Drosophila melanogaster: one gene and its partners. The protein of the gene in region 3 interacts with the protein of the main gene of each other region in a pairwise test. Each region holds a gene or a part of one and is shown on either strand. Other genes may lie near its edges.

Region 1 (4,331 bases), on a different chromosome or scaffold from region 3:
TTCCGCGACAATGTCCGATATCCTCGATGAGAACGGTCGGCGCACCCAATCTCTGGACGGCACTGCTGGTAAGCCTGCCAAGCAGCGAGAGGCGCAAAACCGTCGTCAGAGTAGCGGCAGTGCCCAAGTGAGAAGTCGGAGTCGCTCACTGAGCAGGAATAAGAAAACACCATACGCTCTGGATGAGAGCTACGCCTCTAGTAGTTCTGTGGAATCGGAGGAAGTTCAGCCGCCCGTGACCGCTCCGAAAGCTGCTACCCCCCCACCGGCTGCCAACTCCAGCAGTGACTTTAAGCGGGAGATTACGAATGCGGATGGGAGCAAGGACATTTGGTACCCAAACGGCAATCTAAAAAAGATAAGCGCCGATGGCATGAACTTGCGCATGCTCTATTTCAACAAGGATATCAAGGAAACTAACATCAGGGAAGGCACAGTGAAGTATTACTACGCTGAGACCAACACTTGGCACACCTCCTACCTAGATGGCTTGGAAATACTCGAGTTTCCCAACGGGCAGACGGAACATCGCCGCAAGGATGGCACTGTTGAGATTCACTTTCCCAACAACAGCATTAAGATTGTGGATCCCAGCGATACGGAGAAACTGGAGGAGTGGCGTTATGCGGATGGAACCCATCTAGTGCAGCTCCGGAATGGTGACAAGATTCTCAATCTGCCCAATGGCCAAAAGGAGATTCACACCAAACTAAACAAGCGAAGGGAGTATCCGGACGGCACTGTGAAGCTAGTGTATCCGGATGGCAGCCAAGAGACGCGCTACTCCAACGGCCGCGTTCGTTTGAAGGACAAGGATGGCAAGCTCATAATGGACACAGACTATGCCAAGTATTAGAGTCGGGTCTCTGCTTCCGTTGTTAAGTAAATTAACTTAAGTTTTAGATAAATAGAAAAGACGTGCTATTTTTAAAAGATCATCGTAATATTCTTTTCTTGCTGATAAATGGGAAATTGGCTCTATTTTAGATTATTATATATATTGTTTGGTTTTCAATTTGTTAGATCAAATGTAGTAAATTATTCATAGAATGGTATTCTACTCCGCGTTTACTCCTTCTTGGGCCATGGAGAGGTGATGGCCGAAGACCTTGGGATGCTGATTGAGCAGCTTGGAGGCGAATTGCACCATTTGCTCGAATGTGAACTCCGCCTTGGCACGTGGTCCCCAAAGGAAGAAAGTCTTGGAATCATCGTAAGCACTTAGCTGTGAGCGTTCCCGCTTCAGATATTGTTGCTTCACAAACGTCTCCTCGATCTGTTTGCGCAGATTGGGGCCGAAGTAGCCATGTTCTTCGTCTGGATAGATGTTGAGCATCTCCAGCATAACGTACAGTTTCGAGTCCTCGATGCGGTTGCCGCGCAGGAAGATGTACATGAGAATAATATACAGCAGCGTGAACTGCGGCCGTTGAGCCGGCGTCAGCTCGTGAATGGAGGCCACCGGCTCCTCCGCAGTGCAGATGAACGTCTTGGTGGTCGCGTCCAGTGGGGTTAGTATTATACCGAATGTTTCGGCCAGCAGATTAGTGACCAGCGGCAGGCGTTTCTTCAGTTCGCTCTTGTCCCCAGCCACCGCTATCAAATCCTTGTCCTTTATGGGAATCTTCTGGGCGGTATGATCAAGGATGTAGTTTAGAATGGCGCGAACCTTGGCGTCGACCACATCGACGGGTTGTTGCGCTTCCTGCGAGGGGATGGCATTCTGGCTCCTAGCTGCGCGAGAAGTGCTAGCCATTTCGAGTTAATTTGATTAACAAGCTCCCAATTTATCAAATTTATTTGATTATTTAAAATGCAACTCAACAAGAATGCAGCGAACATATGTTTTTTTTCGCACTTTTGAAAGTGTACAAGCCTGGCGTTGCCAGATCAGAGTTAAAAAACGAGACCTGTTTTCAGTATTAAAATACCAAATGGGCGCGCAAATTATATTAATTCAAAATCATTACTCTGACAATAAAATCTTCGAACCCTTATTATGGTCTTTACCAATCCTTTTCTCTCGCATCCTTTTTCACTTGGTTGCCTATTATATGCACTTTCAAGTGCAAATGGCCACTCATTGGTCTCGTTTGAACGCACAAACTGGGCCAAGAGCCGCTGAAGTACCTACTCTTGTGGGTTTGTATTGATTGATTTCCTTTTGCTGCCGCCTTTTTCCTCTGTTACATTTAACAATCAGTATGAAATTTGCGCTGCAGCGAAACGTTTGCTAAATAAATATCATTCGAGCATTTATCGAGCAGCTAAGCAGTGGGTAACGCACTTTGCATAAAAATTGCCATAGCAGCCTCAGGAGGTGATGTGTTTTTAATTAAAATGGCCAAAACGACGCGACGTGCAGCAGCAGGAAGCAAACAACTTTCAAAACTAAACGCGAATGACATGCACGGTCAACATTCCCCACGGAGACTCAAAATAAACAGAGACCGAGTCAAACAAAACGAAATGGAAATGGAAATGCATTTCGCGCAGCAGACACACGCGCCGAAGTGCACTTCCAGACGCTGCAGAATTACATGGCCAAACATATTTTATTGCCTTGAAATGTGTGTTTTAGGTGGCGATGGCGGTGGCTGTATCTCTGCGGTGAAAACTAGTTACCTGCGTCTGCGCAAAGTGCGCGATCCATAAGTGATAAATGTACAGGCGGAAGGCAGACAAAAGTTGCCTGGCCAGGCGGCAAGCTTTAATTGATTCGCCATTGTTCCGGCTTGAACAAAAGCAGAATATCGGAGTTCAGATTGTTAAAGACAGCCTTTGTGGCCGCCTGAAATGGATATCCGCCGCGTTCTGCAATTGATTCTGCTTGACCAGTGACTGTAATAGCACCGAAATTTGCATCCCAGCAAGTGAAATTACTCAAGATTGTAAATCTCGCAAAACGGCGGCTGAGTGAGTCAACAAAACGCACTGTCAACGCGAAGCGTTAGACTTTCTACACACAAGCAAACAGTTTTGCTTTCAAAATGCGCATTGTAACGTTGGAGTTTGTCAACTCCAGCCCTAAAGTTTTTTTATGGCCGGCTAATTGTAGCCAGACGGTGTTGGAGAAATGTCTCATTTACTAAAAAGAAAGTCAAGGTCTTTGCTGAGCGACGTGAGCGGCAAACTTGCTATGCAGCCTGGCTTTTAAAGGCCATTAAAAATTAGCAAATGACATGAGCATGCCATTTAGAATTTTCATGATAAACAAAATCCCATGACCAGCCAATAGAGTAACGACAACGGGTTTCGCAGCTCACCGCGGTGGCAAAAACTATTAATAAATTAATAACAGAATCACAAGAGGCAGCAGACAAAAAATGTGTGCACAAAAAAGAAAGCCAATATTGGAATGAGGAATGTGTGGAGTTTAATGCTCTATATGATCGGGATTAATTGTTTTTAAGTGGCTTGCTCTTTGAGATTTATCATTTCGAATATCTTAAGGAGCTAAAAGTTTTTTATTGCGAAAATAATATGAATGAAAATAAAAAGTGAAAAATGAATAAATAATATTACATTTAAAATTCAGAAAAATGGAAGGCACCATTAAATGGAAATTACGCTAATATAAATACATCTTTTGATATTCTTAAAGTTGTATTTTAAAAAAATGTGTTGCAAACATTCAAATTAGTCTTTCGTTTTGATAAGAAAAACGCTGATAAATGGCATAGTTTCGCAAACATAAATCTCTTATCTTGTAGTTTTTTAAAGATTCCTTCTTTTCATGTTCCCAGCTTCTCTGGCTAAAAATATTTTAATTTATTCTTCAGCAAATCGAATGTTTTATTTCCCTATACAAGTATATAAGTTTGTTCTTACAACCTCTTTCAGTGAGCAGATAACCCCGTTTCGGTCGCAATGGAATGGAATCGAGAATATAGAAACAATAGCCGGCTGTTGTTGCCTCAGTCTGGTTGCGTGCCGTTCTTAAAAGTGGACTGCCTTCAGCGGAGCGGTTCGGCATTCTTGTCCAGCAGCTGCCGCTCGTGGTCGATCTGGCTGATCAGCTTTGGCCCGGGACCGGCACTTCGATTAGATTATGATTTGCTCCTCTCTCAGAACGACTCAGCTATCCGCTAAATGTCAATGGGGCTCACAATTACAAAAGCGCGCTAAGCTGAACGTAGCTGTGAGCGAGTAGAGTTTAGTTCTCAAATAAAAGACTTGGACAACAAACTTGTTCGGCTTAATTAAGAGGTCAAATTGCTAAACTCAGGCCATGGATCAAAACGAAGCTGCTATTTGACCTTTTACACTTAATAAATTTCGATGCAAACTAGACGCCGGCCACTGATAATCAAATTAAACGCTTATCAGAT
Region 2 (5,577 bases), on a different chromosome or scaffold from region 3:
AAAGTGTCTTTTCACCGCCGCCTTGAAGTAGGCAACTGGAGTGTGGCAATCGAATCATCCACACAAGAGTGCAGATGGGCCAGCATATTTCCGTTTATAATTATTATTATAACAATGGCCGGGGATTTGGCCGGTACATAATTAGTGAAATGTAAAAATTAATCAATTTCGTTATAACGCAATTATTGAAATTGCTAGCAACGCAATTAAGCCGCGTTTGCCCAAAAACGGTCAACAGACCACATTCAACGACCACTTGGCCCATGTCGCTGGCAGGACCGCCAATGTAATAATAGCAAAGGCAAACAGCAGCGATATGGGATCCGATTTGGATCCAATGCGGGTCGAGTGCTGGTGCATCCGCATCCATATGTGGACTATAATATATATGTACATATACATATATGTAGATATATACATATGTATATATGCATACATGTTCTGGCAACTAGAATCAAGCAGGGCTTCCCTGGTTCAGACAAATTTGCATTTTGTGTGATAGTAAATAGTCCAGAATGGATAAAGTTTTTCATTTGCATTATGACCAATGGCGCCCGAATAACCGACTTTTCCGCGCTAAAGATTTAATGGCTATATGTATGTGCATGGGGAGACCGGAAAATGTCAAGAGATTTCTCTCGCCATTGAGCAGAATTCCGTAATTTTGTCAGATTCTATGGCTCATTAGCAAATAAATATCTAAAAATTTTGCTAAGGAAATTAAATGCCGTGAGAATAAATAGACGCATGATGTCTTTTTCGGCTACGTTGTCAGTGTAAGAACAGTTGTATATAGAACAGCTGTTTTTCTCTTTTGCACAAAAACATGTAGATATATAATTATTCATAATAATGAATACATTTTTCGATTGTATATGACTAATTATAACTATAATTGGTATTCGACTAACGTTGATGCATAAATGTGTGTCATTTGGTGGGCATAAATATACAATAAATCAGCATGTGTACATTTAAAAATAACTATATTTTGAAATTAATGTCATACAAATAAATTTAATTTTAAACAAAGTGCAATGTGCAATTAAATTCATTGACCCCAGAGTGAAAAGCAGAAAGCATTGCACTTAAATTAAATATGCAAATTTTCGATCCACATACGCGTAAAACAATGTGTCTATATAACTAAGTTAATGTATAAATTATGCGTATAAAAATATGTGTATTTTGTTTGCTGTAGCACGCTCCACGGAGTGGTTTATTTAAATGTCTGGACATTGATGCCGACACACCTATATTTATTTCAGATACACACATATATATATATATATATATATGAAATAAATACATATATTTCAATGGATATTTGTGGCCACATACGCTGCGGAGAATGCGAACACGTATTCAAAATATTCTGGAAGAAATGCAGCCGGCAGCGAACATTTCACAGTTGACTAAAATGTAAACACGAAGAAGTCGGAAAAAAGGAAAATCATTTTCTAAATATATACAACGGTGCTCCGAAGAGCGCAATGCGGGAGGAAAATGAGCGAGAGTGGAAAAGCGGTGTGAAAAGCCGAGAACAAAGAGCAATGCATTGGTCATTCGTTTGATTTCAAGTGATTTTCAAATTCTATAGGCTGAAGTCATAAAAAAGCTTTTGCTAAGAATTGAATACCCTTCCTAAGCAATATGAATTCATTTTAATTGATCACTACTATCGATAAAAATCTAAATCTAATTAAAAACCCAAATCACCACACTTGACCATGAAAATTGTAATAAATTTAACCAAATACAAACATCATTATCTAATGGACAGTCAAACCATTTTATATAAACAATCTTCAATTAGGTCACAAGACTTGTAGACATTCCCCAATCCATGATCCCTGCCTGAGTAGTAGGGTGTAGAATCCGTGTATAAATAAATTGTGTGTAGGTTTTCCCGTTTGAACGGCAACAGCTGCATAGCTTTTGGAAAATTGGGAAAGCCACTCGCGAGTTTTCCGCTGGCGACGATCAGTGTGCGAGAGTGCGTCGACGAGCGAGGACACAGAACCAGAAGCCAAGAAAATCAGCGGAAAACGTATCCGGCGGGAGAAGAACCAACGGGAAAGCTGCAGCCAAGTGAAAGTGTGGGGAGATATTAATAGAAGGCCACGTCGCACACATATATCCGAGCAGCGGATAAATATACAGACCGTTCATAGGCGGTCCGTGAGATACACACCCGGAGGAGAGACGGAAACCAGGATGACGGACGTGCCGGAGCCCGTGCGCAAGTGCGCCAGCCTGTTGAAGGGCACGAAGAGCGACACTGAAAAATTCGCCGCCCTCTTTATGGTCACCAAGCTGGTCAAGGGCAAGGACTGCAATGCGGCGGGCAAGAAGCTGCTGTTCGAGGCCATAGGGTTTCCCTTCCTCAAGAAGCTGCTAGTGTCCAAGGATCTGCCCAACGATTGTCCGCCGTTAGTTTACAAGAGTGTAGCTCTCTCGATCCTCACGTGCTTTTGCCAGGAGGAGGAGTTAGCCACCCATAAGGACATCATCGACGCCATACCCACGCTCCTGGAAATCGTTGAGCAGGCCGATGACGAGGACTACGAGGATAACCTAATCGTGGTCAGCGAGGCGTATAGTTGCCTCAAGAGCATCGCCAGCCATGAGCCAGGCCAGCAGGCCCTTCTGGCCACCGGAGCCATCCCCAAGATGTCGCAGATATACTCCGCCCAGAGTTTCCAGACCGATGAGGCCTTGCACCTGATCGTGCTGCTTGTTAAGCAGTTTGGAGTGGTATCATGGCCCGAGGATCCCACTGCCTTCCATGCTCTGATCCAGAGGATCGCTTTGGACATGGAAACCGATGACACGGAGAGAAAGTACGAGCTCTGCCGTATCTTGGCTGATATCCTTATTACCTGCCGTCGTGAGATTGTGATTAATTCTCTGGAGGGTCAGATCTGGCCGGAGAGCTTGTTCAAGGGCTGTGGAGATATTCTGAAGGCCAAGATTGGCCCCAAGCAAAGGGATCCTGCACTGCATCTAATAGCCACCACCTTGCATGTGCTGGGCATCCAATGGGCCTTCATGGACGAGCAGAAGACTTTCTTCCTGCAGCTCCTCCAACTGGGAGCTATCGAGGTGCGCATGCAAATGGATGAGAAAAAACTGGAAACCACCTTCAAGCAGGCGGAGCTGCTCACCTGCTGCTTCTCCATTCTGGAGCATTGCATTGAGTATATGGCTACGGATCAGCTGGATCTAGAGCCCAAGGAGAAACAGACCACTTACACCGCTCTCAAGGGCGCCTTCAACCAGGTTCTGGCGGTTTTGACCCGTGTTAGCCAGGACAAGATCAGGGAAAGCTCTAATCCCAAAGATAAGAAGTTTGTGTTTGCCATCGTGAAAGTTCTGTCCGCCTGGCTAGCCCAGGAGACAACGGCCATGAGACCGGCCATCTACAAGCTTCTGCCCTTCATGCTCAAGGTGGCCAACGAGAGTTTCCAGGAGCTAAAGACCTGGAGGGCAGGAACTAGGGAGGGCGAACCACCCATCGATGTTCTGCGGATCATGCTTCCGGCTCTCTGCCATTTCGCAGTGGAGGAGGAGGCCAGGAGAGTGCTCTTCACCCATAAGCAGGATGAAGTGCTGCTGGAATCCTTGGAGTTCTACTTCAGCATTGCCCATTGGAAGAGGCCGCCAATACCGCGCGCTGAGCGTTTGAAGCGCATGAATGAGCCCGATCCGGTTCCGACTCCGGAGCAGCAGGCGGAGATGAAGGTGGCCAGAAGTGCCATAGTGGCGCTCTGCAACATTTTGATGAACTTCACCGTCTTGGAGCCGAAGAAGGCTGAGGATGGACCGACTTTCGCCAATCTGCTGAAGTTCGTGGTGGAGAATCTACCCGAACTGAAGGATACGCCCGATAACCTGGTCATCCACGGAAACCTGGCTGTGCTGGGCCTTCTACTGCTTAAGCAGCAGTCCAAGAAGGTGAAGCAGAATGACTTCTCCATCTGTCGCTACATCCAGGCCACCATCCGCTTCCTCTGGGATGCCTACAACATCGATGAGAGCAACGATCCCACCGCTCTGGTGGTGTCCATTGCCTACAAGGGCTACTGGTCGGATCTGTCGGAGCTCTGGTTCCTGGGAATGCAGACCATGTGCGGCGTGCTACCCCTGGTGCCATGGCTCTCCGAGTTCGCCCTGGAGTCCGGCTGGGCAGAGGGCATTGTGAAGACCCTGAAAAAGGTCAAGATCGGCACCCTGCCGGCTAACGTTAAATCCGCGTACGAGGACTTCCTGTCCCAACTGGTGGACGTGAACGGCGATGTCCAGGCCGTGCTCAAGAAGGCCGATGCTCTGCGGGTCTGCCGCAATCACAGGATGATGGATCTGGGCAAGAAGCTCTTCGGCGACTAAGCCAAGCAAGGCACTCACTGTTTCTCTAGAGGCATTTTTTGTGTGTGATTTGTGCGCCAGCGAAAAATGGAAAATATTTTGTATGGATTATATTCTATTTTATATGCTCTATTTTAATGACTAAATACCTAAATTTATAAAAAAAAAAATAATAAACCAATTTTAAAAACACATCCGGATATAAATTTCGTTTTTCAGTTTTGGCTTCTCTCATCAAAATGTTTTGCCATTCATTCGTTCTCGTTTTCGTTTGTTCGGGCCAACTCAGCGGAATTAGTTGAAACTTTTGCTTGTTTTCATTCTTGTTGTTCGCTTTATTTTCGAACAAAAGCAATATGGTACGGCCAAAACACGTCACATTCGTATATATACGATATGCTGCGGAGTGAAAATAAAACACTAGCGTTAAACAACGATGACGAGTGCAAAGGCTGACCGAAAATAATACTAATAATAAGTGAAATTTAATTAAAAACATGCAGCTAAACTTTTTGTTCGCATCGGAATGGAACGGAAGCGGCGAATTAATAATGTGCTGACGTGAAGTGACAACTTTTTTGGTCAACAATTGTGGAGCGGGAAATGCATGTAACATTTCGGAGGACAACATGCCCTTTGTGCCGTGGGATGAGATATGCAGATAAACCAACATAATTTTGCAAAATTAAACATTGAAGGAAAACATCGATTTCGGTAATAAACTTCGTACGCGAGTTTTTATTTTTTCAGTAAAGTAATTAAAATGAAAGCATTTTAGTTTATTAGAACGGGCTTTATTAGCTGAGCACAGTTAATTAAATTAGATATTGCAAACTATCAAAACACGGTTGAATATTTGTTTATTTTCCCCAAAATCACTGCTTCTGACATTTTGAAGGCTTTAATCAACGTGAAAGGCTTTTTAATTAGCAAGAGTTTTTTTTCCAATTTAGTTGATTTCAGCCTGCAGTAATAAGGAAGTGCACATCCTTCATTAAACTACTTTCAAATTAAGTTTACCCTTAATATATTTCATTCACAATATCATCAGTGATGGGCCAAAATTTAATTTTTATTTAAATAATTAATGCTGCTTGTTAGTATGTTCTCTTGAAACGTCTGTCGTTAAAGGGCTTATCGGCTGGCTTTTGGATTTGGGACGACTACATCCGCATCTGAGCGGATTTTCCCGCTGCGAGGCTAAATTGC
Region 3 (5,823 bases):
TCACCAGGTCAAGGATTTTGAAAATCTGAGATAGACCCCTGAGCCCAGCAATTATCAATTGTAAACTGGGAATGCAATGCTAGGTTGTGTGGGTGGCACATCAGAGACCAGTGTGTTTGCCCGACTTGCTTGGCGCTTTGCAATTGCAATTGTAATTTGCAAATTAATTAAATTTAAGCATGAACAACATGTCAGACCGACATCGCCGCTCCAATCTAATGTACAATAGCAATTAAACGCAATTTAACCGCGTATTTGCTTATCATTGTAGTCTACTGATCAGATTCGAACGCCTTTGGGATGCCCGATTTGCGTGGAGTGAATAACAAACAAAAGTTTGCGAATCGTGGCAAATATTGTATTTACAAATGTTCTAATATTAGATCCATTGCCGATCCAAAAACTATTCCCATGCACTGCAGCGGCCAATTGAAAAATTACTTGTCGAGCAAAAAAGAAAATTATATAATCACATACTGTTCGGTAGCACGAATATGAACGTGTATATAATTCATACTGTCTGGCAATTCTATTTCAGTGATCTATTTGATATCCATGGTGATTAGCTTTATTCGTGCTATTACGTATTTTAGTTGTTATCTTTGAAATTTCGGTGTTTGTGGCGTACTCAGATAAAGCCAAAGATAATAAAACATTATAACACCAGTTTGTCTCGTCAAAGATGTAGTACCTTGCACAGATAATAAAAAAAAATATTTTGTGGCATTGTAAAGCTTAAAAAATTCCCTCAATGTGTGTGTGTAGAACCCTTGACATAAAACGTTTACCTCATCATAACTCAAATAGATAAGCATAACTATATTTATGGGTTTTTCAAAACCAGCTTAATATTGTAGTTAAGTTTTCCCAAAAGTCAACTTATGTAGCTTAAATTCTTATTCACTATATATGTATAATAATAATAATAATCTAGTTCTTAACTAATTCATCGAGAGCGCGTAATGGAGCACCTGTTAATAGAAATTAAGCTAAACTAAATTTATTATTATGTCATTCAGTTAATAGAGTGCCTTTTGCTTTTTTGCTGCCCTATACTCAGACTAGCGTGACAGTCCATTCATCGTAATTTAAAAAAAAAAATGTAAAAACAGAATGGGCCAGAAAGACAAACTAAAACCAGAAACCAAACCAATTGTACAATTGTTTTGTTTGGCCGCTTTTCATCTGCGGTCAATAAAATCAGCCACGCTCTGCGATCCCGCAAATATTTTAATTCAGTTATTGTATTTTATTTTTGGAGCCCGTATAAGCAAAGTACCCTGTACTTAATGTTTTGGCTCTATGATTCTCGTTTTATTTCAATTCACTTTCAGTAACTTCCCTTTCAGATAAACAATACAGTAAGGACTGGCACAATGATGTCGGCAGCTGTTTATCAAAGTGGAACTGGACTGCGGAATTGTTATCAGGCACAAAAAAAAAACATGGCATTCGTTTTTAAAACTCTGTTTCTTTGTTCATCGTGTAATAGTACAATACAGCAAATGAAAATGGAAATATTAATATGATTCATATAACGAACGAATGAGAAAAGTGATTATGCCATTAGTTCAACCTTAAAGAATTCCATTCCTTAAAATTTTGTATACTTTACGGAGAGCTTATCTATAAGAGTTCTCAAGTAACTATTATTTTCTGTCCCAATGAACAATATCTATTACTCTGTTGTTCAAACGACATCGACAAAAGCAATGTATAAGAAGAAAAGTCGGAATGTGAGTTCTTAATTAAATATTGATTAAAAGGCTTTGCTGATAGATAATTGATTGCTGATTAATGAATAGGTATAGCGCTATTCACCTGAATCTCACGTGAAATGGCACCTTTTTGGGGCCATTGAACAATATTCTATAGTATAGCCCGCGGGGCATGGCACAGCTGGTTTAAGGTTATTGGGTTAGTCTATTCAAATTCAGATTTTTGGCTTTACGAAATAACACACATTTAAGAACAAATACACCCAATACAAGAAATAATACATTAAAAACTATTTGACTTGGTATTGAATATTTTTAAAAATAATGTAATAATACATTAAGTAAGGAGCTCTTTAAGGATCAGTCTTTTAGAGTCATTCATAATTATTAAAACTCATTTACTAGGTAGTTCTCTTCTGGAAAACGAAAACATGCTAAAAGTAGCATAAAGTACTATTCTTATTCAGTCCCATATGTTGCAAGGAGAGTTCATTACTTTGATGACTGATGGAAATGGCTACTGTTTTTTTACTTGAAGCAGGAAGAACCATATGTATGTTTATAGTACAAGTTCCAGCTTCCACTATCAGTTGAATTTGAATGGCAATCACTAGGTGCAATCTGCATATGAATTATCCCCGCAACAATAACAAGAGAAGGCTAATCAGAGAGCAGAGACGAGAAATACAAATACAAATGCACGCACAATAGCATGTGCTGCTCTCTCTCTCTCTGTCGAGATAAAAATGAGAGGGAGAGAAAGTGACGCCCACTGGAACCACAAATAAATTAAAGTAAATGCGTTTCGGCTGCAGTTAATTCACCCCCCGGATGCAAAAGGGAATAGAGGGGGAGGGCTGAGTGCATGGCAGGGCATAACGGAAATGACAACTGAAGAGAGCCGGAGAGCGAGAAACCAAAATGCAGCTGTTTGGGGAATGTCATTACATTAACAGAGACAACAACAACCACCAGGATAAGACATCACGAATTGGGAAGCCACTTCTCGCCTAGTTATCAACATATTCCTTTGTGTTTAGCGGGTTATTAAAAATACTCAAGACCAACGACCCTCAAACAGATAACATATTAGAGTTGTCGCCTTAAATGCCTCAAACACACTTGGAACAGAACGTTAAATTTAATAAATGCTGTACCTTATAATTTAAACTTTTTGCATTGATTTTATAATTTTTAGGCATAGGATCAGAGTTTACAAATATTTTAGGAATGGGGACCCAAGAGTTTAGCTATTTTTTTTATACTGTTCTCAATTCTTTTCTTCATTAGCTTTATTTTAACATCCTGCAGCAAGGGGCTTTGGTAGTGTGAGTGGCCGGACTGGAAGGAAAGGCCGTCAGGCAATTCTTCCTTCCACTTCCTTCTAGTCAATTTCAGTTTCCAGTTGGAAACCAATATATGTACATATGTATATTCTCGTGCGTTACTTGCCGTAACAGTGGCTTAAACTTGTTCGTTCTTATTGTTTTGGTTTTATTCACACTCTTCACCTTCGTTTGCTCTTCCTTGTCACGTTCTTCTTGCACTCTATGTACATACACCATATGCGCAATTGTATATTATATTTATTGCGCTTTCTGTTTTGGCACAAAACGCAATTTTTGCTGACCGATTAGTTTTCCGTTCAGGTAAATTCCGCACGCGTTTCATTTCATTTGATTTTTAAATCACCGTTTTTCGCGTCGCCCATTTACTTACGAATTGATTTTTCCTCACGCGTTTCTCCATCGCAGGACGCTCCCAAAAAGCTTTTAATTTCGCGATGAGTGCGTTTTATTCACAACTGCTTTCACGTTTTGCACATTCGCTTAATTGCTGTGTTAGTCGAGCCACTCGAAATATTTAATTAAACTTATTTTCCGCGCCCTTTCCTTGATTTTCAACAAGCGCATAAGTGAAGCAAGCGAACGCGCCGGACAAACAAAAACAACTGCCGCGAATTCTAAAACTGAGCACGAGCGAGAACGAAGAGAACAGAGTACACTGGCAAGAAAATGTTGAAAGTTGTAAATTAAAAAAATTTATGATTATGATCGAAGTTGAAACATAAGCTATTATTGCTGTCTAGTGCAATAAAAGTAAAAAATTTGAATTTAATTACACCAAGTATTATTAAATATATTATTTAAAATATCAGTTCCCAATAAGTATTTTTAACTATTTCATATTTAACCAGAATATAGTACAAATTAGTACAAAAACAAATAAATTTAAATATCGCAGTATACAAGTTATTTGTTTCTACCTGTGCAATCAACAGAATTAAGTGAGAGAACCAAAGCTCACTCTCTCTCTCTCTCGCTGTTCTTTTTATATGCTTGTGTCGGAAAGGGGGTGTAAACCGGTACCGGCTTTCTATAAAGAGCGAGAGTGATTTGAAAATTATAAAAAAAACTTCTATTAAACTAAAATATTATAGGTAAGATATGTAGTTTGTATATATAAGTGGTGTGACTTCGATTTATCAATGGCCTGTTTCTCTCATCACTCGCTACTAGTCACCATATATTTGGCAAAACAGCTGTTGGAAACTATCTTAAGGGTTTGTTTTTGGGGTTGGTTCTAAGATTTGTGTCCACTCTTTCGAATATTACTTTCTCAAAGAATGAATACAAATATATGTGCATAATATATAAATTGATAATTGTACGTCTGAAATATCTCCAAAAATCACAATCTAGAAAGGAAAGAATATAAAATTACCGAAAACTTGTTCAAATTTTGATTTTTGAAAATCATTAAAATTATGATAGGGATAGTTAGGTATGCTTATGAGCAGTATAAAACAGTGTTTTTTTTCGTTAGATGTGCCACCTTTTTTTTACCAAGTTATAGAGAAAACCCCGTTTAAAAATATAAGATTTTTGTATTTTTTTTTTTTTTTTTTCTAGTAAGATTTCACAAGCTATAAAAATAGTTGTCCAAAACCGTTATTAGAAAATATAACTAACATCAAATTTGAATGCAAGAAATTTTTTGCATTGTACGTTAAAAATTTGCGATATCGCAACTGTAATTAAACAAGTTATGTATACGCGCAAACTCGTTAAGAAACGTTTTTGTTTGATTCGTTATCTATTGTACATTAACAACCGGCTTCTGTGATGCTAAAGACTTCTAATACTTCATATTCGAAACCTGAACATAGACTACTTGAAAATTTATTAAGGTAACTCCATGTTGTCAGCCAAAATTAGTGAATATACGTTAAATATTTTTAAACCCAGAAATCGAAATTAATGCAATTGGTGACGAATGCCTTTAATAAATATTTATTGATGTGGGGCTGGTTAATGAGTTCATATAACTTTTTGCAATCGATCACTTCAGATAAGATAGTATTTCTTGTTAGCATTATCTGACAACTCTGATAAGGGCAAATTCTGTCTTCTAATTAGTGAGCAACGAATGAGAGTTCAGGAGTTTTTTAAACGCTACAGTCGAGTTTCGTGACTACCAGATACCCGTTACTCAAAAAAAATGTTTTAAAAGTGTCGGCGTGATGTTTCGAAATAAAAATGCCGCGTGTCAAGATCCGTTACACCCTTTTCAACAAGTCGAGAATACCCTCTTAAGCTACGAGTAACGGGTATAAAAATCGCTGACTGACTTTATTTTTTTTACTGTAATCTTACACATTATCTACACAACCACAAGTATATACAGTGTAGATCAACATTAGATTCGTAGCAATCAGCTTTCATTTGCTGACGTTCCCAACGATCTGCTAAATTTGAATGATGTTTTTTTTTCATTTTTTTTCCCTTCTTTAAAAATAATTTTTTTTTTACTGAATACTGTTTTTACTATTTTATTATTTTCTTTTATAACTTAATCTAATGCAACTATGTTAATCGGATAATCCAAGGCACTTTGTTTACGCTGCTCAATTGAGTGTATGAACTAAAAGACTAGACAGTAAATTTATTCATTTTTAATGAAAATGTTATTTCATTTCTTCCAGGCATGTATGTGTACATGAATTTTATGTAAATATTTGCATTACTCCCGTGGCCAAATTAGGAAAAGACTCACACAAATGATCGGCAAATTAGCTTTGAGTGGTGTGCAAATTAATCTAAAA

Evidence for each region.
Region 1: the proteins of C1GalTA (region 3) and MAGE interact in a two-hybrid assay, tested with the Drosophila melanogaster proteins (one large-scale study listed by BioGRID).
Region 2: the proteins of C1GalTA (region 3) and Neurochondrin interact in a two-hybrid assay, tested with the Drosophila melanogaster proteins (one large-scale study listed by BioGRID).

The regions. Positions count from the first base shown.
Region 1 is NT_033777.3:7,153,309-7,157,639, forward strand, and holds MAGE (MAGE), read right to left. Parts: upstream 1,873-4,331; 5' UTR 1,757-1,872; coding exon 1,058-1,756; 3' UTR 930-1,057; downstream 1-929. Other genes in the region: Sas-4 (spindle assembly abnormal 4), read left to right, coding at 1-856.
Region 2 is NT_033777.3:6,466,456-6,472,032, forward strand, and holds Neurochondrin (neurochondrin), read left to right. Parts: upstream 1-1,981; 5' UTR 1,982-2,217; coding exon 2,218-4,389; 3' UTR 4,390-4,561; downstream 4,562-5,577. UniProt on the Drosophila melanogaster protein: Strongly up-regulated in Mhc mutants suggesting a role in muscle function.
Region 3 is NT_033779.5:8,947,541-8,953,363, forward strand, and holds the start of C1GalTA (core 1 galactosyltransferase A), read right to left. Parts: upstream 3,677-5,823; 5' UTR 3,438-3,676; exon of another isoform or gene 3,230-3,437; intron 332-3,229; exon of another isoform or gene 22-331; coding exon of another isoform or gene 1-21. Other genes in the region: CG46397 (uncharacterized protein), read left to right, coding at 1-21. UniProt on the Drosophila melanogaster protein: Glycosyltransferase that generates the core 1 O-glycan Gal-beta1-3GalNAc-alpha1-Ser/Thr (T antigen), which is a precursor for many extended O-glycans in glycoproteins.